Linked DNA regions of Canis lupus familiaris. Each later gene encodes a partner of the first gene's protein in a complex. Links are inferred from orthologs where the notes say so. Each region holds a gene or a part of one and is shown in the gene's direction. Other genes may lie near its edges.

The links.
Region 2: SART1 (region 1) and SNRNP200 share a complex: the UniProt entries of both Homo sapiens proteins name them as parts of the U4/U6-U5 tri-snRNP complex. The link is inferred for Canis lupus familiaris from reciprocal best matches to the Homo sapiens genes SART1 and SNRNP200.
Region 3: SART1 (region 1) and USP39 share a complex: the UniProt entries of both Homo sapiens proteins name them as parts of the U4/U6-U5 tri-snRNP complex. The link is inferred for Canis lupus familiaris from reciprocal best matches to the Homo sapiens genes SART1 and USP39.
Region 4: SART1 (region 1) and PRPF3 share a complex: the UniProt entries of both Homo sapiens proteins name them as parts of the U4/U6-U5 tri-snRNP complex. The link is inferred for Canis lupus familiaris from reciprocal best matches to the Homo sapiens genes SART1 and PRPF3.
Region 5: SART1 (region 1) and TXNL4A share a complex: the UniProt entries of both Homo sapiens proteins name them as parts of the U4/U6-U5 tri-snRNP complex. The link is inferred for Canis lupus familiaris from reciprocal best matches to the Homo sapiens genes SART1 and TXNL4A.
Region 6: SART1 (region 1) and SNRNP40 share a complex: the UniProt entries of both Homo sapiens proteins name them as parts of the U4/U6-U5 tri-snRNP complex. The link is inferred for Canis lupus familiaris from reciprocal best matches to the Homo sapiens genes SART1 and SNRNP40.
Region 7: SART1 (region 1) and PPIH share a complex: the UniProt entries of both Homo sapiens proteins name them as parts of the U4/U6-U5 tri-snRNP complex. The link is inferred for Canis lupus familiaris from reciprocal best matches to the Homo sapiens genes SART1 and PPIH.

What each region holds. Positions count from the first base shown.
Region 1 is NC_049239.1:51,813,116-51,817,375, reverse strand, and holds the start of SART1 (U4/U6.U5 tri-snRNP-associated protein 1), read left to right. Parts: upstream 1-1,213; 5' UTR 1,214-1,278; coding exon 1,279-1,591; intron 1,592-1,788; exon of another isoform or gene 1,789-1,886; intron 1,887-3,369; coding exon 3,370-3,427; intron 3,428-3,810; coding exon 3,811-3,866; intron 3,867-4,260. UniProt on the Homo sapiens protein: Plays a role in mRNA splicing as a component of the U4/U6-U5 tri-snRNP, one of the building blocks of the spliceosome. May also bind to DNA.
Region 2 is NC_049238.1:34,672,277-34,676,079, forward strand, and holds part of SNRNP200 (U5 small nuclear ribonucleoprotein 200 kDa helicase), read left to right. Parts: coding exon 1-105; intron 106-191; coding exon 192-370; intron 371-550; coding exon 551-702; intron 703-1,545; coding exon 1,546-1,654; intron 1,655-3,026; coding exon 3,027-3,135; intron 3,136-3,560; coding exon 3,561-3,750; intron 3,751-3,803. UniProt on the Homo sapiens protein: Catalyzes the ATP-dependent unwinding of U4/U6 RNA duplices, an essential step in the assembly of a catalytically active spliceosome. Plays a role in pre-mRNA splicing as a core component of precatalytic, catalytic and postcatalytic spliceosomal complexes.
Region 3 is NC_049238.1:39,801,291-39,805,093, reverse strand, and holds part of USP39 (U4/U6.U5 tri-snRNP-associated protein 2), read left to right. Parts: intron 1-101; coding exon 102-327; intron 328-1,602; coding exon 1,603-1,680; intron 1,681-3,268; coding exon 3,269-3,336; intron 3,337-3,803.
Region 4 is NC_049238.1:60,226,437-60,230,239, forward strand, and holds part of PRPF3 (U4/U6 small nuclear ribonucleoprotein Prp3), read left to right. Parts: intron 1-602; coding exon 603-746; intron 747-1,655; coding exon 1,656-1,755; intron 1,756-1,927; coding exon 1,928-2,041; intron 2,042-3,130; coding exon 3,131-3,249; intron 3,250-3,530; coding exon 3,531-3,614; intron 3,615-3,803. UniProt on the Homo sapiens protein: Plays a role in pre-mRNA splicing as component of the U4/U6-U5 tri-snRNP complex that is involved in spliceosome assembly, and as component of the precatalytic spliceosome (spliceosome B complex).
Region 5 is NC_049222.1:688,175-692,563, forward strand, and holds the start of TXNL4A (thioredoxin-like protein 4A), read left to right. Parts: upstream 1-1,541; 5' UTR 1,542-1,653; intron 1,654-2,011; exon of another isoform or gene 2,012-2,020; 5' UTR 2,021-2,054; coding exon 2,055-2,207; intron 2,208-4,108; exon of another isoform or gene 4,109-4,178; intron 4,179-4,389. UniProt on the Homo sapiens protein: Plays a role in pre-mRNA splicing as component of the U5 snRNP and U4/U6-U5 tri-snRNP complexes that are involved in spliceosome assembly, and as component of the precatalytic spliceosome (spliceosome B complex).
Region 6 is NC_049223.1:69,155,415-69,158,236, forward strand, and holds the end of SNRNP40 (U5 small nuclear ribonucleoprotein 40 kDa protein), read left to right. Parts: intron 1-830; coding exon 831-934; intron 935-1,668; coding exon 1,669-1,718; 3' UTR 1,719-2,185; downstream 2,186-2,822. UniProt on the Homo sapiens protein: Required for pre-mRNA splicing as component of the activated spliceosome. Component of the U5 small nuclear ribonucleoprotein (snRNP) complex and the U4/U6-U5 tri-snRNP complex, building blocks of the spliceosome.
Region 7 is NC_049236.1:754,070-758,522, reverse strand, and holds the start of PPIH (peptidyl-prolyl cis-trans isomerase H), read left to right. Parts: upstream 1-1,512; 5' UTR 1,513-1,601; coding exon 1,602-1,667; intron 1,668-1,896; coding exon 1,897-1,961; intron 1,962-2,212; coding exon 2,213-2,236; intron 2,237-2,513; coding exon 2,514-2,558; intron 2,559-3,453; coding exon 3,454-3,496; intron 3,497-4,453. UniProt on the Homo sapiens protein: PPIase that catalyzes the cis-trans isomerization of proline imidic peptide bonds in oligopeptides and may therefore assist protein folding. Participates in pre-mRNA splicing.

The sequences.
Region 1 (4,260 bases):
CTGCCCCCACCAGCACACACAGCTCTGCTTCTGCTCCTGAGTGGATCATCTCACAGAGCAACAGCTGTGACTCCTCCACTCCCATTTCCAACATTTATGCTGGGTCCTAGGAATTCAAGAGGGAACAGGACCTAATGGCCTCTGCCTTTGAGAACTCAGGGTGGGAGGGGAGGAGGTTTGGATCCTTAAAGGGGTACGTATCTTACACTGTAACCAGTGGTTTGCACAGGGGCCGCCAGTCCCAGCAACTGGGGGTTGCGGGTCAGAGGAGGAATTATGTGAATTGCGATTTTACTTTTTAAAAGACTTTGTTTATTCATGAGACACACAGAGATGTAGCCAAAGGGAGAAGCAGGCTCCCTCTGGGGAGCCCGACAGGAACTGGGTCCGGGATTACGACCTGAGCCAGAGGCAGACGCTCAACTACTGAGCCACCCATGCGCCTTGGGATTTTAACTTCTAAGTAACTTCAAATTTGGGCCCCCAAGGAGGGGGGTGGGAATGAGCTCACATACCCAGTCGTGCTGTGTGGAATTTTGCAGTTTCTGGGGGTTCAAAGTACAGATTTAAAAACCCAATCCAAGGTGAGGGGGGTGCCTGGGTGGCGTCTCCCACTCTTGGTTTCGGCTCAGGTACGATCTCAGGGTTCAGCTGGCCCTTGTCTCCCTCTCCTTGCCGCTCCCGCTTACGCGCTCTCTCAAATAAGTAGATCTTAAAAAAAAAGAAACAAAAGACAAGGAAAAAAGAACCCAATACGAGTAAGGTGGAAAGGCAGCATTTGATAATATCGGGTGTAGGGGCTCAGAGGCTGGGCTGGGTCTCAAAACAAGCTGCGGCGTCCCACACCCGATGGAGCCACGACGAGGGGGCGGGGGCGGGTGGAGCCCACCGGGAGGACGCCGACTGGAGCGGCGGGCGCGGTGCACGGTAAAACCGGTAAACCCGTGAGGCAGGGAGCGTCTGGTGGCGGGGGGGGGGGCGCCTCCAGCTCCCAGATTGCCGGCTTTAAGGGCTTATAGTTCGGAGGCCTGTAACCCCTACACCCGGCGCACGCACGCACTTCGAAGACCGCCACCAGACCAACAGCTCCGCAAACACGCAGCCGGGCTCCAACCCCGGCCTTCCCGTGAGCCCTCGGGGCAGGCACCGAGGCGAACGGCGGAAGCAGCCACTCTTGGTTTCCGGCAACACGACAGCGGCTGCCGGGCGACCCGGAAGTAGTCCCATTTTGCGTCGTCGGGGCTCGGCGGCGGCCGGGCTCGGGGCGGACGTACCACCATGGGGTCGTCAAAGAAGCACCGTGGGGAGAAAGAGGCGGCCGGGACGACGGCGGCGGCCAGCACCGGAGGCGCCACCGAGCAGCCGCCGCGGCACCGGGAGCACAAAAAACACAAGCACCGGAGCGGCGGTGGCGGGAGCAGCGGTGGCGAACGTCGGAAGCGGAGTCGGGAGCGTGGGGGCGAGCGCGGGGGCGGGCGGCGCGGGACCGAAGCCGAGACACGCAGCGGCGCGCACGGGCGGGAGCGCGGCCAGGCTGAGCCCTCAGAGCGGCGCGTGAAGCGGGAGAAGCGCGATGACGGCTACGAGGCCGGTGAGGGCGGGGCCTGTGGGGGCGGGGCGGGGCGTCCCGGGGCGGGCGGTCTGGCCTGGGTGCGAGCCGAGCGCTGCCGCCCCGGCTCCCCGACGCTGTCTCCGTCAGCAATTATTAGAGAGTCTCCCCGTTTGGGATTAAAAGTTGTCTCTCTCTACTAACCTCTGCGAGGGCAGAGGTTTTCTGTTGTCTCAAAATTGGCCCCTCACAGGCCCTTATTTGTTGAGTGAATGAATCAATGAAGTTGTTCTAGCTCGTGCAGAACCAAGAAGAAACCTGATATTGGGCAAACCGGGTAGGGTTCATAGCAGAGATAGGAAACCGGTCGGAGCACAAAGGGCCCTACAGAAATTTGAATTTTGTCTTGAGGGTGGTAGAGAGCCATGGATTTAAGCTGAGGAATGAGTTGATCATATTTTGCAAAGATTCCTAGATTGAGACCTGGTTCAAAAATAGTCAAGACTGGAGGCCACGTGAGGATTGATAGTGGCGTGTGCTGAGGCAGCGGAGGGTGGAGAGACCTGAACAGATTGAAGAACCGTTTGGGAGGAGGAATTAGAGCTTACTTAGCACTTGGGTGAGGGTAAGAAGGAAATGAGGATGGCTCCTTAAATTTTGGTTTGAGCAACTGGGTGGGTGGTTGTGTCTCCTGAAATTGAGGACTTTGGGAGAGAAGCAGACTTTTGAGGGGAGAGAGTTCAGTTGTGGAGAGCATTGCAACCGATAGGGTTTGGGCTGGATAGAGCAATTTGGAAGTCATAAGTAAATCAGGTGGCAAATGAAGCCTGGCGAGAGAGTAAGGAGTGGGCAGTAGAACCTTAAAAATGCCAGCATTTTCGTAGTAGGTAGAGTAAGAGGCTATAAGAATGCTTGATGGTACAATATCCAGAAAAGAAAACTATAGAATCTTGTGTCATGGGGTCTGTTGCAAAGAATAGTCAATGGTGTCACACACACCACAGAAAATAAAGGAAATTCGAGCTGAAAAGAATCCGTTGGATTTAGAAATAAGGAGGCTGGTGACCTTGGAGAGAGCCTAGAAAGGTTGAGATCCAGGGTCCAGGTGAGGTATAGGGGAAGAGGTAGGTTATGGAGTGGGGACGCAGGAAGGATGAACAGGTGGTAGCACCTGGGTGGGGAAGCTCCATCTGGTGGCGTCTAGCCTCTGTCTGTGTGTTGTGTTCCGAAGTTACTTGCTGAGTGAGAGATGAGTAGAGGAAGTCTGAAAAGCTACTTTATCTCAGCATCCTCACTATCCATCGCAAAACAGGGACCATTAAGTGTATTTCTTGACTGGATGAACTGCGCAGAGAACACAGTCATGCTGCTAACACAGTCCCTGACCAGTGGGGAGAAACAGACCTGGAAGTGAGTGATGAGCTGTGGAGTTCAGGAGAGAGCAGTTCATTCTGACCAATAATTAAATAGGAGTTCAGAAGGAGGTGGCATTTGGTCTCAGCATTTGGATAGGATCTCGTCTATCAGAGTTAGGCCAAGGAGGGCAGTGTGGGCTGAAAACAGAATGTACAGAAGTGGAGAGGAGGCAGAGTGAAGGCTGCAAAAAGGTTGGACCTTTTGGGGCAGGAAAGGAAGGTTATGTTGGGGTCTCAAGAGATTGGGACTGAGATGGAAGGAGCTACTGAGATGGAGGAAGGTTGCTGTTTTCGAGTGTCTCAGTAGGGCCCGGGTATGGGTAAGGGAGGTCCCTGCAGAGCTCGAGCCAAAGATGTGGTTTGTTGGCCCTTTGTTCAGCTCCTGAACTATACTTCTTGTTCCAGCTGCCAGCTCCAAAAGTAGCTCAGGAGATGCCTCATCTCTTAGCATCGAGGAGACCAAGTAAGTTCTGTCTTCCTGATGTTTCTACTTTTATTTTCTGAGACAGAGGGCTTCTGGGAACAGTTTCCTGGGGGACCATTCACACACTAAGGCATTCTGACTGGAATTGGAAATGACGTATAACCATTTGAGTTACAGAAAAGACGCTAAGACCCAAGAGAAAGATGGTCTTCTGCTGGTTAGGGGCAGGCCAGGCCTAGTGCCTGTGTTCCCTGATTTGGAGGCCAGCATCCTTCCCAATGTCCTTGGCTGCCTGGGTCAGTCTCTGCTTTGGGGACCCTTAGGACTTCTCAGTTCCATCCTGTTTTCACTCTCTATCCAGAAATGTCTCTGATGTCCCTATTTTGTTGGCAGCTCCTAACATGTGTATCTCTTGTCCTCAGTAAACTCCGGGCAAAGTTGGGGCTGAAACCCTTGGAAGTCAATGCTGTCAAGAAGGGTGAGTGTGGGACTGAGGATGGGGGTGAGGGAGGGCATTTGGGTGGAGGAGAAAGATCATCTGAAGGGGTCTTTGAGGAGGATGGGGTTATGGCACAGGTTCAGCACCATTTAGTGGCCATGTGTGTGTATGTGTGTGTGTACACACATCCTTGTGGATAGGCACAGGCTTCTCCTTAGTGTCACAATGGAGGGCTGGGAATAGGCTTATTCTTTAAGTTCATATGGCTAGCATCGTTGCTTGCTCTGGCTGTGAGGCAGCATTAGCTAGACCAAGATACATGCGTAGTTGCTGCAAACTGATCTGGGCTATGCAGGTGTTGGGTTCATTTGTTTCTTAATGCATGATGGGAGGCGAGGATGCTTGCAAGGTGTGGAGGATCCCGTCATGCTGT
Region 2 (3,803 bases), on another chromosome or scaffold:
CTCTCGAATGCTAAGGATGTGGCCCACTGGCTGGGGTGCAGTGCCACCTCTACCTTCAACTTCCACCCGAATGTGCGTCCCGTGCCCTTGGAGCTGCATATCCAGGTAGGACCTGTCCTCCCCGCTCCTATGTGGCCTTGTGGCAGAGGACCAGGTCTGATGCCCGTCCCTTTGTTTTCCTCGGTCTCCAGGGCTTCAACATTAGCCACACACAGACTCGCCTGCTCTCCATGGCCAAGCCCGTGTACCATGCTATCACCAAACATTCTCCCAAGAAGCCTGTCATTGTTTTTGTTCCGTCCCGAAAGCAGACCCGCCTCACTGCGATTGACATCCTCACCACATGTGCAGCTGACATCCAGCGGCAGAGGTGGGGCAGGGAGGGGCAGGGAGGGTTGGGTCACTGAGGTTGGCTCACCATGAAGAGCCTCCTGTTCGTGAAGGTGGGGATTAGCCCCATCGGGCTAGGGGCTGGCCAGCTGCAATGGTTGGAAGGGTCTTGCCAGGGTTGGGAAGCGCTCTGAGCCGATTCAGTGTCTGTGCTGCCTAGGTTCTTGCACTGCACCGAGAAGGATCTAATCCCGTACCTGGAGAAACTAAGTGACAGCACTCTCAAGGAAACGCTGTTAAATGGGGTGGGCTACCTGCACGAGGGCCTCAGCCCCATGGAGCGACGCCTGGTGGAACAGCTCTTCAGCTCAGGTGAAGAAAATTCTTGTGGCCAGAAGGAGGTCAGATGTAAGGGTATCACAGGCGATAGATATGAAATTTTAGGACGTGGGTGATACTTTCCTCCAGCAGACTCATCATCCTCAAAATTCTTTTCTGATGAGTTTATCTATTACCTCATTTGATCCTCCCAATAACCTTGGAATATGGGTAGAATATCATGCCTACTTGCTAGATGAGAAAACAGGCATTGTAAAGGTGGTATTACTTCAGAATCTGGTTTTCTAGACCAGGACCTCTGACTGGTAGACCTGGCTTTCCACAGATACCACTCTCACCAAGTTTGTTAGATCTTAGAGGTGTAATAAACGCTCGAGCTGAGTCTCATTTGGGTGGTCTGTGTACCACTGTCCCTTGTTGACCTATGGCATTTCACGCAGAGTATTAGCACTATTTGGTGGCACTGCAGTGGAGATGCTGGCACTCTTTGATGCTTGAATCTGTGGTTTGAGGCATGCTCACAGCTCAGTCTTGCTGTACGTACTGAGCCAGCGTATGACTGAGTTGGTGTTACCACGTTCCAGTCAGCAAGGCCAGTCTGTCAAGCAGATAGCTAAGCCTAGCTTTCCCTGAGCTTGGGATTCTATTCTAGGATTATCTCATTTCCTACAAGATAGTCTCCCAAGCAGGGCAGCAGCAGCATGGAGCCACCTCTTACAGTATTGCGTTAGCCCTTGTCATGATTAGGGCTCATTCCCAGCAAACTTTGCTCTGAGTTCTCAAAAGAAGCACAGGATAAGGCCCTACCTGCGAGGGAGACAGATCCTCCCAGGGAGCTGGCCTGCACTCAGTCATCTTCTCCCCTCTGCCTCTCAGGGGCTATCCAGGTGGTGGTAGCTTCTCGAAGTCTCTGCTGGGGCATGAATGTGGCCGCCCACCTGGTGATCATCATGGACACCCAGTACTACAATGGCAAGATCCATGCGTGAGTCTCACTGTGCTCTGCATTAATGGGAACCTTCTCCTAAAATGAACATAACAGGGCAGCCCGGGTGGCTCAGCGGTTTAGCGCCACCTTCAGCCCAGGGCCTGGTCCTGGAGACCTGGGATTGAGTCACACATCGGGCTCCCTGCATGGAGCCTGCTTCTCCCTCTGCTTGTGTCTTTCATTAATAAATAAAATCTTAAAAAAATAAAATAAAATGAACATAACATCTGCAGATACAGAAATTATGAAGGAAAGATGTTAGGGAGATGAAGAGCCAGCTGAGATTCCCCCACAGCCACATACATGTCTGAGAGAGTGTTTAGTCTTAGGCCCTAGGTTCACTTTTTCTTTTTTTAAAGATTTTATTTATTTATTCATGAGAGACACACAGAGAGAGAGGGGCAGAGACACAGGCAAAGGGAGAAGCAGGCTCCATGTGGGGAGTCCGATGTAGGACTCAATCCCAGGACTCCAGGATCACACCCTGGGCCGAAGGCAGGCACTAAACCTCTGAGCCACCAGGGATACCCTTTAGGCTCACTTTTGCTTCTGTGGTCATCCTGTCACATTGCAGCAAGTTGGAGAACCAGGAAGTTTGAGGTGGAGATTAGGTAGTTGTTTATCTTATAGATAGGGAAAGTGACATGATCCAAGTCACACACCTGTGTGGTAACAATGAAGTAGAAGGTTCGGTTTTCCTTAAAAACTTGAATGATTTGGGATCCCTGGGTGGCGCAGCGGTTTGGCGCCTGCCTTTGGCCCAGGGCGCGATCCTGGAGACCCGGGATCGAGTCCCACATCGGGCTTCCGGTGCATGGAGCCTTCTTCTTCCTCTGCCTGTATCTCTGCCTCTCTCTCTCTCTCTGTGACTATCATTAAAAAAAAAAAAAAAAAAAACTTGAATGATTTAATTCTTAATTTTTTCTCAAAATGTAGATTTTTGTTTTCCTGGAATATTCGCTATGGGCTTATTTTTAACATCTGAAATTCATTCTAGGTTTGGATTTAAGTCAGGTGAGTGTCTAACTTCTGAGACACAGCTGTTTGGAAAGCTTGACCTACATATTTGATCCTTTCTTAGGGAGTTACTTGCTTTTGGCATTCGCTGGGTTTGTAGCTTTGGTTCAAGGACCCTGATTTGCAGTCTCAACTCTTACAGTCTCAACTCTTACACTTGAAAATCACAATGATATAGAGAGAAACAAGTGAAACTAGTAACTGAGCACGGGAAGTGCTCGGGGGATAGCTGTAATTGTCCACTGTCTCCCACATTTGCGTTTTATTCTTTGGCATTGAGGGAGTCTGAGCTGCCTGAGTGTAGTCTCCATGTGGATGCCTCTTTGCCACCTTTCTTCTCCTCTGTCCCCAGGTACGTGGATTACCCCATCTACGATGTGCTTCAGATGGTGGGCCATGCCAACCGCCCACTGCAGGATGACGAGGGGCGCTGTGTCATCATGTGCCAGGGCTCTAAAAAGGTCATTCCTGGTCTCAGAGCAGATTCTTTCTTAGGTGTCTTTCCTTGTTTACATTCTTTCTGTTAGCTTCTGTTTCTTTTATTTTCCACATTGCTTTTATGATAACCCTCTCAGCACATGGAATTTTGTACCCTTTATTTTTGCTGCTGCTGCTGACTCCACATGTTGAGGTCTTTACTTTCTGGCTGGTTCTTCATATATTGTTAGGCCTGTTTGACTTGCTCTATCCATATTCCCATTGTAGAATGGTCAATGAGGCCAGTGGGACCAGGCATACACACCTAGTCAGTACAGTGAGTTCTTCCATTGTTGTATTAGCTGGGTCTGTAACACAGAGCCATTCCCTGTTGATTTGCCCTTAGCCCTTTTTTGTGACCGTGTTGTCATTGACTCTTTATTGCCATCTCTCCTTTTCCAATCTACAGGATTTCTTCAAGAAGTTTTTATATGAACCTTTGCCAGTAGAGTCCCACCTCGACCACTGTATGCATGACCACTTCAATGCTGAGATTGTTACCAAGACCATAGAGAACAAGCAGGATGCCGTGGACTACCTGACCTGGACCTTTCTGTACCGCCGCATGACACAGAACCCCAATTACTACAACCTGCAGGGTCAGTGGACTGTGGAGTGCACAGTATCCTTTTGTGGTTCTCATGGCCCTTGC
Region 3 (3,803 bases), on another chromosome or scaffold:
GGGCCATCACAGGCCCAATTCTAGTAGAAGAGCTTGTTTCTGAGGTTGTGTGCGGGGCCCTGCATGGGGGTTCTGGATTAATTGGAGTGTTCTACTTCTAGGCTTTGTCTAATGTTCCTCCTCTACGGAACTACTTCTTGGAAGAAGATAATTATAAGAACATCAAGCGTCCTCCGGGGGATATCATGTTCTTGTTGGTCCAGCGTTTTGGAGAGCTGATGAGAAAGCTCTGGAACCCTCGAAATTTCAAGGCACATGTCTCTCCCCATGAGATGCTTCAGGCTGTTGTCCTTTGCAGCAAGAAGACTTTTCAGATCACCAAGCAAGGTAAGAAATGAGTCCTTCATCTTTTCTAATGGTAGGGCAACAAAACCAGTTTGATGAGCAAATTTACTTGCACTTGAAGTGAACCTTGTTGTAACTGGGTGTGCTTCTAGTTGATAGCATGATTGCGTTCCTCATTCCTTTCATCAGTCTGCCCTGCTCAGAATCCTGTGACTTCATCTGGATAGAAAGTCTGTCTTATTTGGTAAACTAAACTGTATGGCTGAGGGGAAGATGAGGAGGCTTTGAGAAAGGCACCAGCTCTTAAGCACTTGCCGTGTTTGCTTCTCATTTTGTCATTCTGCAGACTAGATACTCCGATGACCTATTTTGACTCTTCATCCCTCCTAAGTACAACTAGTTATTGCCATGTGAGTAGAGAGGACACTCTGTAGCTCTTAGCACCTGGATCTCATACAACATCCTCTCGCCTCGTGTCTGTTTATTCACCATCCTTTCGTGCTGCTAGTAGGTTTTAGAGCAACAGGGATAAGCTGCACAGTTTTTTTCTTCCAGGAGCTCCTATTCTAGTTGGGAAGGTAGTTGTGTAAAAAGCTGACTCAAGGGTATAAGTGCTATGATAGATGAAGTGAAGTATGCTTTGGGAGGGGGCATAAAGCAAGGAACCCCAGCTGGGCACCTGGGAAGTTGGCCAGGGTCAGAGTGGAGGAAGAGCTAGCTGAGTTCTAGGCACAGTGGAGATAGGTCAGGGCTGGGCATTCCAGGTAGCGAGGATGCTTCCAACAACGTGGACATGCCCGGAACAGATGGAAGGCTGCCAGTAGCCAGGTGCCTAGAGTCCAGGGGACAGTGTGAGAGCTGAGGTGGGAGGGAGGGACTAGATCATCCGGTTTAGGTGCTGCAAAGAGGAGCTTGGGTTATACCCTGACAACAGTGGGGAGTTAGTGAAGGCCTTTAGGCCAAGATGTGACATCAGACTTAAGTTTTAAAAACATGATTCAGGCTGAGGAGTGATTTAGAGGGGAAATTTAATACTGGCTTTTGGTGGCTGGTGAGATACAAGTTTGAAGTAGAGATGATAATCAAAGGTACTAGTTGGGTCAGAGAGCCCAAGGAGAGAGTGAAGACTGGAAGACTAAGGGCTTGACCTTGAGGAGTGCCAGCATTTACTGACCAAATAAAGAGGCAGCCAGGGGAAGGAATGGTGAGGCCTAGAAGGAAAGGAAAACCAGGAATGTGACATCATGCCAGCCAGTGCATGGTTTGTGTTATACTAATTTCCAGCTTTGACGTGTCCCACCCTTCCTTCTTTTCCAGGGGATGGAGTTGACTTCCTGTCCTGGTTTCTGAATGCTCTGCACTCAGCTCTGGGGGGTACAAAGAAGAAAAAGAAGAGTAAGTCATTTTCTTTTGTAAGAGCTCTTTTCTGTTTACTTTTTTTTTTTTTTTTTTAGATTTTATTCATTTATTCACGAGAAACACAGAGAGGCAGAGACATAGGCAGAGGGAGAAGTAGTCTTCATGCAGGGAACCTGATGCGGGACTTGATCCCAGGATCATGCCCTGAGTCAAAGGCAGACGCTCAACGCTGAGCCACCCAGGGATCCCTGTTTGCTTGTTTTTACGGCACTTTGCAACTTCCCATCCTTTTCTTAACTGTTTATTTTTTTGTGTCAGGGTAGTGTCTATGTACACGTGAACTAAGCTTTATTCCTGAACAGGCTCCTCTCCATTTAAAAAAATTAGGATATGGTTATTATCTGATGGCATGCTTAGTTAATACATGGAAATGGTTACAATTGCGCTCTAGAAATCCTGATCCAGTTCTGTGCTGAGGGGCTGGCAGCATTTTGTCAACTGGTAGTCTGGTAGTGCAAGAGTTAATGTGAGGAGGGCTCACTGAGCTGTTTGCGTGGCTTCTAAATTGGTGAAGCAGAGTAAAAGCTAGTTCCTCCCCCTGAGCCTGTACTTGGAGAAATGAGGCTGTCTTCCAAAAAGATTCCCAGTCTTCAAGTCCTCTATCCTTAATATCCATGTTGGCATTACAACTAGACGGTTTCCATGAATGCCAAAATTAACCGTTAGCTTAGAGACTGCTGAGCTAGATGAATAATTTTGGAGACCTAATGCAGTTTTTTTCTTGTCCTTTTTTCGGTTCTGCTGGTGTTGATGTTTATATTGATGTGGAATTGTGGGCTGGCGTTCTTTCTACTAGGTTGCCGTGCCACCTCTGCTGGATGTCTTCAGCCTGTGCACATCCTCTGATGAATTCTGTAACTTGTGTCCTATCAGGATTCTAGAACCCTGTTGTTCTTTCTCATTGCTTTGGTTCTCTTCTCTGTCCTGTCCCTTAGTCTGCATTTCTTTTATTTATTTATTTTTTAAAGATTTTATTTATTTATTCAGGAGAGAGACATTGAGAGAGAGAGAGGCAGAGACACAGGCAGAGGGAGAAGCAGGCTCCACACAGGGAGCCTGATGGGGGACTCAATCCCGGGACTCCAGGACCATGCCCTGGGCCGAAGGCAGTTGCTAAACTGCTAAGCCACCCAGGGATCCCCTCTGCATTTCTTTTATGTCTAGTGCAAGGTGGATTCCTGTCTTCCTTTGCATACAGCGTATGGTTATGGGAAATTCTTTGGATCTGTCTTACTTTGCTTATGAATTTTTTTGTGATAAGTCTCTAGGCCTTATAAATCATTCATTCATTTCAAACACACTTAATTTTTCTCTTATGGGCCAGACCCTGTGCTGGAGGGTCAAGGGGCATCTTGTGGAGAAGACAGACATAAAATAATTACTTGCACAAATAATGTAAGGTACCATGGTGGTATATGTTACATAGGTACTTCTGTGTTTAGTGAGAGCTTTAGGTCTTATGCTAGAAGATGCTGGTTTATTTCAGAAATTTAGAAGTTAGGACTATATTTTTGAAATGCTTTCCAACCTGACAGAATTTGCATTTTGATTTCCATTTGTACAGCTATTGTGACTGATGTTTTCCAGGGGTCTATGAGGATCTTCACTAAAAAGCTTCCTCATCCTGATCTGGTGAGTTGAACCTCAACCTGACTCTTGGCCTGATTTATTTTGCCTGAGAGGATTTAGGGTTGACAAAGAGAGTCTTAGAGAGCTATCAAGGCCCGTTGCCCCAGGATGAGGTTCTGTACAACCCTGCCCAGACAGTTCCTTAGATTCCTGTCACACCGGTGTGTTCATTAAGTTTGGAAGTTAGCCACTGGGTGGTGCTGGCGTGGTTTTTCAGAAAGGTCAGATGAGCTTTCTAAACCATTTGGAAATATTTTAAAAAGTCCGATATTTAAGTTAAATGTCTTTGGAGATGGACATCCATCGGTTTTTGCATTACCCTAACCAGGTGGTGCTGCCCATGAAATGTGCAGTCTCTTGGGTACCCTTTTCATTTACTTACAAACAAAAGGAAGTAAACGTAACAAAAACATTTTCTTTTCGTGTGATGGTCTCTACTGCTCATTCTCCTTCCCTCCTTTATCTTCTCC
Region 4 (3,803 bases), on another chromosome or scaffold:
TGTGGGACTCGATCCCAGGACTCGAGGATCACGCTCTGAGCTGAAGGCAGAAGCTTAACCACTGAGCCACTGAGCCACATCCCTAAATAAACAAATCTTTAAAAAATATTACTAAAAGATTGAGAACACACCTGGCTGCCTCAAATCAAAAGAGCATGAGACTCTTGATCTCAGGGTTGCGAGTTCAAGCCCCATTTTGAGTGTAGAGATTACTTAAATAAACTTTTAAAAAATAATAATAACAAATAAAATTTAAGAAAATTAAATAAACTGCTTTGGGAGTCCAGAGGATTTTCCTGTAACTCCAAAATTATAAATTTCATCTTGGCCCCACCTAACCCAAATACTCATGCAGAGCAACTAGAGCAGCTCTAATTTTGTTTTCTGTATTTGCTACTTTTCAGTTGATTAAAGCGTTCACCTGCTTCAAGAAAAAACAAGTTAGAACACTTATGAAAGATAAGGATGCTTTTAAAAAATGTAACATACTACCATTATCCAACTTAAAAATAGCAAATTTCTTTTAATGTGAGTGATTGATTGTCACCTACCTTCCTCTAATGGGCTTCTTGCTTTTATACTTTCATTTCTCTACCTGGCAGTTGACAATGACACACCAGTTACTCTGGGGGTGTATCTTACCAAGAAGGAACAGAAGAAACTTCGAAGGCAAACAAGGAGGGAAGCACAGAAGGAACTACAAGAGAAAGTCAGGCTGGGCCTGATGCCTCCTCCAGAACCCAAAGGTACGTATCTTGGAGGCAAAGAAGAAAGGGTGGTACATTTGTTTATCCCTGTATTTCTAGAGGAACTTTTATATCTCTCTGTATTTGGGTGCTTTTTGTTTTCTCTGAATCATTCATTGATTTTTTTCTTCCTATTCTAAATTTTCTACAATCTTGTTAAGACAGGTCAACATATTCGGTGTAGAGGTCATTTAAGGTTTATTTGTAAAGTGTAAAAATATATAACACTGATCTTCCTGGAAGAGTAATGGTCTTGAAATTCATGAAGATAGTAGTTACAGTGTTTGCATAGAGTGTTTTGTACATAACTCTTAATATTTGAAAAATGAAAATACTGTTGAAAGAAACCTTCACTCCTGTAGTTTCCATTATCACTCAGTAATATTTGAGTGAGCACTGTTATGTGTAGGATCTTTTATTAAATGCTGTGATCAGGGGCAGCCCAGGTGGCTCAGTGGTTTAGCGCTGCCTTCAGCCCAGGGCCTGCCTGATCCTCTAATGGGCTGGAGACCTGGGATCAAGTCCCACATCTGGCTCCCTGCATGGAGCCTGCTTCTCCCTCTGCCTGTGTCTCTGCCTCTCTCTCTGTGAGTCTCTCATAAATAAATAAAAATCTTTATTAAAAAAAAAAATGCTGTGATCAGAGTGAAAAATACCAACGAAATTAAAGTTCCTTATCTATCATAAATTTTCAAGCAGTGTAAATAAATGTATACCAACTGTATAGATTGTGTGACCTTCCACAAATACTGAGTTAATTGGATGGGCTTTTCAAGGTGTAGGGGTTTTTGGAGGAAATAAACTTGGAGCAGAGATTTGAAATAGGTAAATAGTTGAATTGATTGAGAAAAGGTGACAAGTTATCCCAGCTGGAGAATTCATTGTTTTCTATCCTCTCTCCACTTGCAGTGAGAATTTCAAATTTAATGCGAGTATTAGGAACAGAAGCTGTTCAAGACCCCACGAAGGTAGAAGCCCATGTCAGAGCTCAGATGGCAAAAAGACAGAAGTAAGTGCCATGGGATTGGGTGGAAACCCGGGCAAGTACCTTTCCCAGACTCTTCTGAGGGGATCCATATTTGGAGGGAGGGGAGAGTCCTCTGTTGCTCTCTCTTTCCCTCAGCTTTGCCTCTGATCTTCAATGCCTTTCTCACTTGTGGATGTCCTTCCTGTCACGACAGAGCGCATGAAGAGGCCAACGCTGCCCGAAAACTTACAGCAGAACAGAGAAAGGTCAAGAAAATTAAAAAGCTTAAAGAAGACATTTCACAGGGGGTACACATATCTGTATATAGGTAGGTGTCCAAACTGGGCCAGCCTTTGCCTTAGAAATACCAAAAACTTTTCCAAGTGCTTGAGGCAGAATCACTGTGGTCTAACATCAGTCCCTACTCTCTTCTGTGACCTCAACATGAATCAGGAGCTAGTAAATCTTTTATAATGAGGGAGGGTTAAAGACTTACTGTTCTATCTCTGAGAGCTTCTCAGTGAACCAGTACTAGTTCTGAAGAATGAATGAATGAATGAATGAATGAATGAATGAATGAATGAATATACCTGGTGAGACCAACATATGAACTAAGGATCATTCTCTATGTGAAATAAAATATAATCTATTTCTTCAGGAAGCATCAAAAGTTTCTTTCTTCAGTAACTATATTCTTATTCTCATGTAATGTAGTAATCCTTTTATTCCCACTACAAAATACATTTTGCACATTGTAAATATTTTCTACCTTCTTGTTGATTTAATGTCTTCATTTTATTTTTATGTTGAGTACGTGTGTACCTTCCATTTTTTAAAAGTGCTCTTGTTTAATAACTAGTTCTTTATTATGAAAGTGATACATTATTACAAAGTAATGAATATTTAAGAATTTTTTTAATATAACAGTATAGAAGGCCTTTACTGAAAAAAGTCCCCTTCTTGCTCTCTGATCCCTTACTGCTTACTGTAGATAATTGCTACTAACAATTTTTTGTAATTCTAGAAAATTCTAGAAATTTTCCATGCATAGCATTCTGGTAACTTGACATTATAAGCATCTAGAAGGCAAAGAATTTGTTGATCATTACACTGTCAAGAACAATTAGCTTGCAAGTACTTTTGGATAGTGGTAATACCTCTTCTTTCTTAGAGTAAATTTTGATTACCTGCTATTTGTTGTGTGTGTGTACAATACTGGTCTTTGAAGTATAAGACAGTGGAGTTACTTCAAGACTTACTGATTCTGCCTTTCTTTCAAGCGTTAGTGTACGTGCTTACTCCAGAGGCTGTTGTTTGTAGAGAGAAAACCATTGTGGAACATCTGTTTATTTGCCATTCCATTCAGGCAGCTACTGATGCTAAAACAAAAGCCATAATTAAACTTTCCCTTCTCCAGAGTTCGAAATTTGAGCAATCCAGCCAAGAAGTTCAAGATTGAGGCCAATGCTGGGCAACTGTACCTGACAGGGGTGGTTGTACTGCACAAGGATGTCAACGTGGTAGTAGTGGAAGGGGGTGAGTCCGAAAAAACTGAGGGAGACTGTCCCCACACAACCCTAGGCCTTGAAGTGAATAGAATGGTGGGGAAAAGGAGGAGAAGATAAGTGTTTTAGAGCCACGCCTAGGTATAACGTCCTGGGTTTCTGTTTCTGTGTTTATTGGAGTAGAAGAACCTAAAATGTGGTTTCCAAGATTGCAACTACCACCTTAGGGTCTGAGTAACAAATGAGCTCAGAGGTTCTTTCTACTTCATCATCTTCCACCATTCTGGCAAAATTCTCCTTCTCTGTTTCCAGGCCCCAAGGCCCAGAAGAAATTTAAGCGTCTTATGCTGCATCGGATAAAGTGGGATGAACAGACATCTAACACAAAGGGAGATGGTGAATGGGGGTTAGAGGGGATTAAGTGGGAGGTGGGGATGGTACTCTGTCCATTCATCTATTCCCTCCCACTGAAACTTGATCACACTACATATTGTGGAGGAATTTTAGAAAGACCTGTTTGGACTATGAACATAGTAGACATTCATAGAGTTTTTATTATGTGATGATATGTGTGAGGGTTAGTTA
Region 5 (4,389 bases), on another chromosome or scaffold:
TAGAAGGTGTAGCCACGAGGCATCTGGGTGGCTCAGTAGGTCAACGTCCGCCTTCCGCCTTTTGGCTAAGCTCAGGTCGCGGTCTCTGGGTCCGGGGTTTGGAGTCCCCGCAGGGCCTGCTCGGTGGGAAGCCGGCTTCCCCTGCCCCGCCTCCCCGCCCCACCCCTCCGCCGCTCCCCTACCCTACGACTTGGGGGCATGCACGTGCTCTCTTGAATAAATACAATAAAGCTGCAGCCATTCTTGAAAACAGTTCGTATTCCATAAAATGTTAAACACGGTTATCGCGTGACCCCGGCTTTCCACTCATATACTCTTAGGGAAGCGAAAACCTAAGTCCACACAAACACAAATCCAGATGTTCACAGCAGCATATGCACGACGGCCAGAAAGTGGAAACAGCCAAATGTCAGACGATGGATAAATGAAATGCACACACTGGGTGACGGGCCCTGAGGGGGCACCTGACGGGACGGGCACGGGGTGTTATTCTAGATGTCGACAAATTGAACACCAACAAAAAATAAATGTATAAAAAATAAAAATAAAAAAATGCACACATGCGTATGATGAAGTGGTAACCAGCACCGAGGACCGAATCCTGACGCCCGCGGACAGCGCGGCCTGGAGAAGGCAGTCCCGGGCGATGTCCCGGTCGGTCTCCGCTCGCACGAACTGCCCGGGGCAGGCGGGGGCAGGGAGGCGGGCGGGAGTCCGCGGTCGCCGGGGCTCAGGGACCGCGGGGAGTGGGGACGACCAGCCGACCGCGCTCGGGCCTCCCCCCAGCAGGACGGGAGCTGCCCCAACGGAGACCGCAGTGGCGCTTCTACGACCCCCCGGGGCTGCAGCGCGAGGACCCCACAGGACGTGGGGGATCCTCCGTCAGCTTCTTGACAAAAAGGACGCGCCCGGAGGCGGACGGGGCGACGGGCGACAAGGGCCGTGCGTGTTTCACACGGTGACCCACACCTTAGCTGGTCTTCTGCTGACGCGGCGACCGCACAGCGGGGCCTAGTCTGCCCTGACCGCCCCGGGGACGGCTGTGCGGTGAGCAGGACGGGCCTTCCCCAGCCCGTCACGTCACGGTCCTCGGCCTGTCCCGTGTGCCGGCCCCGTCCCCCGGCTCCCAGCGCTGCTCCCCGCCGGGACCCGAACCGCACCTCGCAGCTCCGCTCGGCCGGCTGCCCTCGTCACACCCCCAGGGCACGGGGGCGCCGCGGAGAAGCTGGGTCGCTCCGAGGGGCCTGACTGGGGCTGAGAATCAGGCGGCAAAGCCGGGCCCCCCGTGACCGCGGCGACACCTCAGGAGACCGACCCCGCGGGGTCCGGGGGCCACCGGCCGCACCGCCCGGGCGCACACGGGAGCCCCGGCTCGGTGTCCCTCCCTCCCGGCGCCGGGCGCGCGCGGCCCCTCGTCGGCGGCCACGCGCACGCGCACGCGCACGCGCACGCTCACGCTTACGTCGGGCGGCCACGCGCACGCGCACGCGCACGCTCACGCTTACGTCGGGCGGCCACGCGCACGCTCACGCTCACGCTCGCGTCGGCGGCCACGCGCACGCTCACGCTCGCGTCGGCGGCCACGCGCACGCACCGACCGGCTCGCGTCCCCGCCGGGAAGGGCTGCCGCGCGGGAGGCTGCGGTCGGCTGAGGTGCGGGCGGACGGAGCGGGGAGCGGGGGCGAGGGAGGCAGGGGCTGGCGTCTGCGGGGCGTCCTCGCGGCCCCGTTCTCCTTCCAGGGGTAGAGCTTGACAGGGGCCGGGGCCGGGGCCGGGGGCCGGGGGCAAGGTCTGCGGGGGTCCCAGGCCCTCCCCGCGGCGGGACCGAGGGGCACGGATGGGGGCGACCCCGGGGCCTCCGCACCGGGGACTGGGTCTGCAGGGCGTCCCCTCAGTGCCGTCCCTCTTCCAGGGGTCGGGGGGGTGAGGTCTGCTGTGGGACCCAGGGGCGCGGGCGGGTGCGACGTGCAGCCCTTGCCCGCAGTCGGCCGCAAGGAGCCGGTGCGCACAGTTCCCGCAGGTGTGCCCGCAGGTGTACCCGGAGCCGCCCCGAGATGTCGTACATGCTCCCACACCTGCACAACGGCTGGCAGGTGGATCAGGCCATCCTGTCGGAGGAGGACCGCGTGGTCGTCATCCGCTTTGGACACGACTGGGACCCCACGTGTATGAAGATGGACGAGGTGCTGTACAGCATCGCGGAGAAGGTAACACAGCCCCCCGCCCAGCGTCAGCCTAGGAAGCTGTGGTCTTTGGTTTGCCCCGTTTGCTAGGTGGCTGCAGGGTTGGAGTGAGGTGACCGCGTGCAGGTCCTCCTCTTCCTCCAGGCTGCAGAGGCGCAGCAGGGTCCAAGGGCCTGACCCCCGCGTGGAGGCTCCAGGCCTCAGAGGGTAGGGTGCGGCGGGCTCAGGGGGCCTGACCCTGTGCCCCGAGGCTACGGTCCTTCCGTGGGAGCAGTGTGTCCCTGGTCTCCAGGTTTTGAAGGGGTTCATGGTGCCACCTCCACGGAGCTGGGAGCAGCACACCTAGGGACTTCGTGGAACGCCATTTTAGCCAGGTAGCTGCACAGGATTGCCAGTTTTTGGTGCTTTGCTCCCTGTGTGTGGGAGGCAGTCGTGCCTGTCAGGGGAAGGAAAGCCTGTTCTCCATCCCGGTCTTTGTGCCCTAAGTGCACTCCTAGCTCAGACGTGCTCTGGGAGACTTGCCTGGTTGGACCCAGTCTGGGTCACCATGCTGGCACCCTGGCTTGTCGGAGGCTCTGTTGGCAGTTCCAGAACCAGCAGCACCTGGTGCTCTCCTGTGGGCTCTGTGGGCTCATTTCAGGAGAACTTTCATTTGGATGTGTAGTTGTAGCCAATTCATAGATTACTTACTGATATTCCGTAAATAAGGAGAGGTCAAGAGTAATGGAAACATTAAAGCCATGATTTCTTTCAGAGGAAGAAGGGCTTAAGATAGCTCAGTACATGGTAACAGGTGTAGGGACAGATGTGTCTGGGAAAGGCGAAGTCTCGGGGGTCAGAGCAGGACCCCACATTGAGGTTAGTTCACTAACAACTATCTGACCTTCCACTGCTACTTTTTCTGATCTCCTGTGTGGCGGGAGAAGCCAAGCGAGGCCGGGTGGTAGCACTGGGAACCGTGGAACTGTGGAGGCCGTCTTTCCGGTCAGTCACGTGAGGATCGCTTGGAAGACTTGCTCAGGTGCACCTCCGAGGTTCTCGTTCTGCAGGTCTGGGGTGAGGTCCACACACAGCTCTGCCCAAAAGCTGCCCTGGGAATTCTGAAGTGGCTTCCAAAAACCACTTGGCAGAGTTCGGGATCAGAGTAAGGGTGCTGGGAGACTGGCCGTTCCCTTTCTCTTCTTGGGGAGCCTGAGGAGGTGCCTGGGGAGCTCGGGAGAGCTGCGGCGCCAGTTTGTCGCGTCAAAAGCAGACACTGCTGTGGTCAGTGAAGAACCACCTCCAAGCACTTTCCTGAGAAACACCATTGCTGCTCTGTTGACCTTGAAATAACGTAGGGTGTGTGTTCTGAATTGTGCGGGGCATGTGGGGGCATAAACACCAGGTGGTGACCAGCTCCTGCTGCCCTCGGTGCAGGGTCAGGATGGTTAGAGACGGGAGGCTCCTTTGGCTCTTCATACCCAGGCAAAACCCAGCAAGACGCTCTTCTTTGGGAGACAGATTTTGTGTTAACCTGAGCTCTTAGGGACTTTCAGCAAGTTGTTTGTTCTTTTCCCATCCCTGTGTGTCAGCTGTAGGCTGGACTGCGGGATCACTGAGGAACGCACTCTGGGATCGAACCTACTGATAAGAACAGTTTAGTTGGGCTCACTTTGAGTATTTGTCTTTGTTTTATCTTTAAGGTACTTTTTCTTTGGTCCAAAAATTTGGATTTCTGTTTTAATAAACTTTTAATATTATATAGTACAGTTATTAGAAATGCAAACTTGAAACTCATCACAAGATAATTGTTTTATTTTCTTCTGTGTAAAGGCAAAACATGAGTTTATAATTCTGGAAGTCCTTCTTGAGCTCAACAGGAATTTTTGAAATTTAAAGTTTTAGTATAAAGAACAACTTAACTATCTAAAAATCTCCCTCTGCAGAAATGGCAGATAGTGGGGGATCTTCCTCATCCTGTCTCGAGCCCTGTTTGGATACCCCAGCTGTTTTAAAGTGAGTAAAAGTTCCACCGTTTAGGCTGGACTTGATTAGATTGTTTCTCCGGGAATGTGGTGTGTTGACTTGATGCTTTGATGGTGCCAACCATCATGAGGCCACCACCTCATGCTGTATTAGTTTTGAGCTGCCCTGAAAACATGGGAGGTAAGCTTAATGATTTTACAGATGTCTGGAGCTTGGTAGAGTGGTAATAACAAAGTTTCCT
Region 6 (2,822 bases), on another chromosome or scaffold:
GTGTTATCGCACAGAATTTTCTGTCCCTTCTCTGGGCTCTGTGATTTGAATGCAAAACTGAGCAGCTCAAGTGAATCTGCAACCCTAGGCTCCCAACCTCCTATAAGATATCCTAGATGAATATCAGGCATTCTTTGAAGATTTCTGTGTGGGGACCATAGGAAAAACTATCTTTCTTCTCCATGTTCTTTCCTATTCCAAAAACTTATGTTTAAAATACCAGTAATAAAAAAAATAATAATAAAATAAAATAAAAATAAATTAATTAAATTAAATAAATAAAATAAATTAAATTAAATAAATGAATAAATTGAAATAAAATAAATAAATAAAATAAATTAAAATAAATAAAATAAAATAATAAAATAAAATAAACAAAATAAAATAAAATAAAATAAAATAAAATAAAATAAAATAAAAACCAGTAATGCGGGCAGCCCGGGTGGCTCAGCGGTTTGGCACCACCTTTGGCCCAGGGTGTGAGCCTTGGAGACCCGGGATCGAGTCCCACGTTGGGCTCCCTGCATGGAGCCTGCTTCTCCCTCTGCCTATGTTTCTGTGTCTCTCATGAATAAATAAATAAAATCTTAAAAATAAATAAAATACCAGTAATGCTTATAGTTTATTCCTGTATCTCTATTCAGTTACTCAAGGGCAGGATCCATCCCTTATTCAGAATCTATATTTCTAGTTTCTAAACATCAGAACACAGTTCAGTAAATATGGAGTAAATAAATAAATCTCTGCTTCCATTTCTCTTAAAAAGCCATGCCTCTACCCTACTCTCAGCTCTAGGAAGCTTTAGCATTGCTCCTCATGATACCTTGCAGGTTTGTGTATGTGTGGGATACCACAAGCCGGAGGATTTTGTATAAGCTGCCTGGACATGCTGGCTCCATCAATGAAGTGGCTTTCCACCCTGATGAACCAATCAGTAAGTCTGTCCTGACTTTGGGGAAAGGGAAACTGTGGGAATCTCCCTAAAGGGCCCCTGAAAATAGAAAGGCAGAGGTGGATATCTGTCATATGTGAATTTCCAGGTAGTCTTTATGGCTGTCCCTTGATTGTCTCACCATAGTTTTAAATGGTGACAGGAAGAGCATGTTCCATTTTCTTAATCTCAAAGGGAGACTGGTTAATCTGTTTCTAGTTCTCTTAAGTTTACTTGTTTCAAGTCTGTGTTTCAGTGATGTATTTGGATTTTTAAAAGATGATATTTTCTAATATTCAGCTATAAATTGCAACTTGATATTTATTGGCTAGCTAATTAAACAGTGGGCCTTGAATTTAAGAAGAAAGTATGACTTTCTCCAGGGCTAACTATAACAAGCAAAAACACATTTACAAAATGACTGGCACAGACATCGATTCTTCCCTAGAATGGCTGAGAAGGTCTTCTTTATGGGGTTTGGCTGATGTGGGACATCAGGGTTTGGACCCTGATAATGCATTTTCCATAACACAGTCCACCCTTGTGGTTTCAAGAGGACTTGGATTGAAAAGCCAGGCTACAGTTTCCTGTGAGTGGTGTTGAAGAGGAGGGGAATTTAAGCTAAATCCAATTGCTCTTTTATACCAAAATTGGCTCTTGACACAAGAGCCCTTGAGCACCAAGTCTCCTTGAGCCTTCATTAGTTCCAGTTATCTTCTTCATTCTCTTCACCTCAGTTCTCTCAGCATCCAGTGACAAGAGACTGTATATGGGGGAGATTCAGTGAAGATACGGAATGGAAGACACCCGCCCCAACGGCTGCTTGACCCCTGAGACCTCAGGCGTCATAAGTGGCATCCAGCAGTGCCCAGGCTAGCAGCCTCCCTTCAGATGAAGACCATTCCTAGGAAAAAGCAAAGAGGAGGTGGCCATGTTCCAGCAACCACTGGTACCCCTTCCACCAGGATGATTAAGACAAGCTGACAGTGGCCTCTAAAACCACCGGCCAGATTTCAGGAACTGTTTGGGATTTTTTCCTCTTTTTTTTTTAAGTAAGATTTCTTCAAAGAGACAGACACAGGTTGGTTTGTAGTTTCTTGTTTCCTAATACAAGCCAAAGACAGGGAATGTCACTGAAATTTGTTCATTGGGGATTTTTTTTTTAATTCAATAACTGGCTTGTATGATATTTTTCTTTCTGTGTTTCTCTGAGTCATTTTGTATTAAAAACCAAATAGATGCCTTTTTACAAGAGCCATGTGGATTGGATTTATTGTGTCTTTTCTTTGAAGCTTGATCGCTATAAATCTGACCTGGATATGATGTGGCTGGGGGGATACATTCCATTTAAATTTCCAAGATACTATTTTACAGGGATGTTTAGGGTTTTTTTTTCCCCCCTTCTCATCTTTTTAGATTTACTCCCAGAGTAAATAATTCCCAGAGAATAATTATCCATAATAAATGATTTCTCTCCTGCTAGAGACATACCAGTCAAGTGGTGATCAAGTCTAAAAGAACCCAGTTTTTGTATACTTTGACATGATCTTTAATAAATAAGGTCTGTTTCTATTCTGCCTCCTGCCAAAAGCACCTTTCTGAGCAGCAGTCCCTATTAGTCAAGGTCCTTAAAATGGGCATTAGACTGGGGGCTGCCTCAGCCAGTAGGAGTGGCTAGCTGGAATGCTGCATCAAAGTCAGCTTGAGGGGGGCAGGCCCGGTGGCTCAGCGGTTTAGCGCCTGCCTTCAGCCCAGGGTGTAATCCTGGAGACCCGGGATCGAGTCCTGCAGGGAGCCTGCTTCTCCCTCTGCCTGTGTCTCTGCCTCTCTCTCTGTCTCTCATAAATAAATAAATAAATAAAATCTTAAAAAAAAAAAAAAAGTCAGCTTG
Region 7 (4,453 bases), on another chromosome or scaffold:
GTTCTATAAATTATCTTGTTTGCATTCAAGTTGTTTCTGCTTTTTCACTATTTGAGATTATGCTGTGGTGAAAGTCTTTGCGAATATAACTCTTCTTTTCTCTCGAGTTACTCCAGAAAAGATTGGCAGTTATGGGCCAGAAGACACAAATGTTACACAGTTTTGGTATATCACTTGTAGTGTTGCTTTAAAAAAAAAAGAAAAAGAAAAACTTGTGTCAACATAATGTTTCTATAGTCAGACTTTTTTTCTTGTCTTTTCTTTTTATTAAGTAGGCTCCACACCCAGCATGGAGCCCAATGTGGGGCTTGAACACACCACCCTAAGATCAAGACCTGAGTTGAGATGCAGTCAGATGTTTAATCGACTGAGCCACTGGTGCCCCTATGGTCAACCTCTCTAAGCCTCAATTTCTTGATCCATAAATGGGAACAGTAGTCATTCCTGTCCCATAGAGTTGTGAGGACCAAAGTAAATGAAATGTGTATTTAGAACTTAGTAGCTGCTTAACAAATGCTAGGCATCATCACTGATTTTCACTAGCACTGGTTTTTCCACAACCTCATCAACATTGGATATTACCAATTAAAAAAAAATTATTTTAGAATAGTTGGTATAAACTATACTGAAGGGTGACTCCTGCTGTTCTTTCTTCCCATCCTGCTCCTCTCCCTCCTACTCTCCTCGGACTCTTTCTTCTCCCTCTTCAGTTGGAGATAGAGAAGGATACCAAGGGGAAAGGAAAAGTAACTAAAAATAAAAAAGACACCATTAAGTTGAGACATTGAGTTTTTACATGTAACCCCTGCTTCCGCAGACAACTGGCCAAAAAGGATGATCAAAGGATATAGGACACAATAGCTATGATATCAGATACAGGCTGTGACTCTAAGCCTTGCCCAAGGTCACCTTTTTTCACTCAATTCATTGAATCTATTTATTGGATCCTCACTATGGGCTACTCAATAGTAGGCACTAGAGCTAAGGATGGGAGGCCAGGAATGATCTATAAACAGGTTCATTTTAAAAGCTCTAGCTGGGGGCAGGTGGCTCAGCGGTTGAGCACCTGCCTTCGGTCCAGGGTGTGACCCTGGAGACCCGGGGTCGAGTCCCACGTGGGGCTCCCTGCATGGAGCCTGCTTCTCCCTCTGCCTGTGTCTCTGCCTCTCTCTTTCTCGTGATTAAATAAGAAAATCTTTAAAAGGGGGAAAAAAACAAAAAGCTCCAGCAGGAATGAACTGTAGGTGACAAGAGGGGCAGCTCGCGAGCAGAACCAGAACTCCGGTTCCGGCTTAACCCGAGCGCTCAGGGTCCAGCACCTAAGACCCACCGCCTCCCGCGCCGCCGCGGCGCACACTGAGCGGAGGGGGAAAGACGCGCCGTGTACGTCGGCTCGGAGGCCTTGGCCCCGCCCACTTCCGCGACGCCCAGTTTCGGCGCCGGAGGCCGGGAGCGCTCCGCAGCGGGGCGGGACTTCCGGGGGGCGGGGCCTGGCCTCGGGTGGCTCTGCCTGCGCCTGCGCCGGCGAGTAGAAGCCCCGGAAATCGGGGCTCGGGTTCGCCGGAACCGGTGCCTGCGGCTACTGCTTCCGGGTCGGAGCCATGGCGGTGGCAAATTCAAGCCCCGTCAATCCCGTGGTGTTCTTTGATGTCAGCATCGGCGGCCAGGTGAGGTTCCAGGCCCGGCCGGGAGGGTCTCCCGCACCCGGGGATAGCGGACTCGGGAAGCCAGAAGGCGAAGCTGGACCGGGACCTACCGACCTGCGGGGCGGGGGGCTCGGGAGGGAGAGGAGTCGTCTCGCGCATCCCAGCGCCCCGCCGGGGGGCGGGGGGGACCGGGCCGCCCCCCCGGATCCCTGCTCGCTGAGGCCTTCTGACCGTGTCCCGCCGCCTGCAGGAGGTCGGCCGCATGAAGATCGAGCTCTTTGCAGACGTTGTGCCGAAGACGGCCGAGAATTTTAGGTAAGGGGATGCTCATCGGAACCGGGAGCCGGACCGGGCCTGCGTGGCGGCCCGCTCCCCGCCCTTGAGATCGGAGCTCCGAATTGTCCCCGTTTTTACCCTTCCCATCTCAGTTCATCGTAATTCTGGGTGTCGAGGCCGGCGGGCCCGCGGGGGGCTCAGGCCGCGCTCCCCTCCCCGCCCCTCTGCGCCAGGAGCGCCCCCCGCTGTGGGGTCACCGAGACTGAAGCATCCCCTCTTTTCCCTTTCAGGCAGTTCTGCACTGGAGAATTCAGGTCAGTCTCTCAGACGTGGTTGACTCGTCTGCTCGCTCCTGAAGGGTGCCCCGGGGCCGCAGTGGGGTTTTGGGGAACCACGCCCGTAGGCCTTGAATGATTGCTGGTGCCGGTAGTAGAAGGTTAATACCCCAAGGGTCTGTCTTCAGTTCATTTGCCTCCTTTATCTCTCTCCTCCCCACCACCTTTAGAGAGTCTCTTGGCTCGAGTGTGTGGGAAGCTGGGAAGACCTGTCATTACTTGTCGTCATTCCAAGTCTCTTTCTTTTTGGTTATAGAAAAGATGGGGTTCCGATAGGATACAAAGGGAGCACCTTCCACAGGTAAGGCTTGGCAAACCATCCTGCAGGATTTTAGAATTACTTTCTAAAAAAGTAATTTCTTACTTTTTTTTTTTTTTAAGATTTTATTTATTTATTCATGAGAGACACAGGCAGAGGGAGAAGCAGGCTCCATGCAGAGAGCCGGACGCGGGACTTGATCCGGGGTCTCCAGGATCACACCCTGGGCCGAAGGCAGGCACGAAACCACTGAGCCACCCGGGCTGCCCTGTAATTTCTTACTTTCTTTAGAAAGTAAGATTCATTTCTTTAAAGGGAACTAAAACCATAGGATAATTCCTAGATCTTGAGAAGGAATGTTTTTTGTGAACTCAACAATAGATTTGAAGGCTTATTAAAAACCAAGGGATCCCTGGGTGGCTCAGCGGTTTAGCACCAGAACTTTGCCAACTGAATTCAGCAGAAATGCCAAGGTATTAACAGTAGGTGCAAGGTTACAATTAACAGTGTTCTCAGCATCCTCTCCCCCCATCCCCAGACCCCCAGGGATGGATTCTGATTAGCTAAAGCCAGTAAGAGCAGAACATTTTTTTTTTTTTTTTTAGAGCAGAACATTCTTTAAAAAGGAGGCAGCCCGCGTGGCTCAGCGGTTTAGCGCCGCCTTCAGCCCAGGGCGTGACCCTGGAGACCCCGGATCGAGTCCCACCTCAGGCTCCCTGCATGGAGCCTGCTTCTCCCTCTGCCTGTGTCTCTGCCCCCCCACCTCTCTCCCTCTGTCTCATGAATAAATAAATAAAGTCTTTAAAAAAAAAACAAAACACCAAAGTTTAAAAAACGTTTTATTTTTAAATCAGTGTTAATCTAAAGTATAATGAGTACGTCAATGTTTTTCTAAATGACAGAACCTTCTCTCAGGATGCTTTATTCTCTGTTTCAGGGTCATAAAAGATTTCATGATCCAGGGTGGGGATTTTGTTAATGTAAGTATTATTTCTTTGCTAATAAAGACCTGTAGGAATATTGGTTTTTATTACTGCTGTTGCTGCTATTTTTTTTGCTACGGAGTCCAGTCCTGAGGCTTGAAACAATAACCAAGTTTGATGAGGAAGAGGGGTGACAGGAATGTCCTTTAGAGTTGCTGGCTTCCACTCTTTATACCATTAGGTGACAGACATCAGCACCCTGATTGAGTCACTGACTTCCAAATCAGCCTTTTAGGGCCAGAAGCTAACTTTCCCAGCATGCCTATAGATGATCCATGAGAGATGCAAACTAGTCAGTCACATGAAACTTGGGTAGAAATCAGATGCAATTGTTTTGTTTTCTAAATGGCAGTAAGTTCTCTTTCAGTGAGCTAAATGCTTATGTCCTATTTGCACATGCCTGGAAAGCTGAGTTTTTCATCAGAAACCGATTTAGTGGGCAAAGAATCAGAGCAACAGAGGTAGATCATTCTGGAAGGATGTTTCCTCTATTTACTAGCGGGGCCCAGTAGAATGGCTCTTCGCTGCGATTAATGGACTTTCTTGTGACTAGACTGTATGTGTCTCTCATACCAAGCCTCTTCGCCCTCCTCTGACTCTGGAAGGTGCTGAATAAACCATATCTCTTCTTAAATCTACTTTTGTTCTTAACCAACCACTTGTGTGCATGTCTGTGGTCTTATTAATATCATTTGGTTAGTCATGTTGCTATTTTCTTGAGTCTTGGGAGATGTCTTTCTCCTTCTTATGTATATTTATTTAGTTAAACTTTGAGGAATTTTTAAAGACTTCCTTCCTGTCTAGGAAAGGTTACAAAGTGGCAGATTTTAGGCTGAACCAGACTTTTAGATACACGTTGTTTCATGTGTGTGATGTTGTAAAACTGGGACATTTCACCAGAAAATTCCAGAGTTTTGTTTTCTCTTTAAAGAATGGAAAACAGGTGTGCACTTG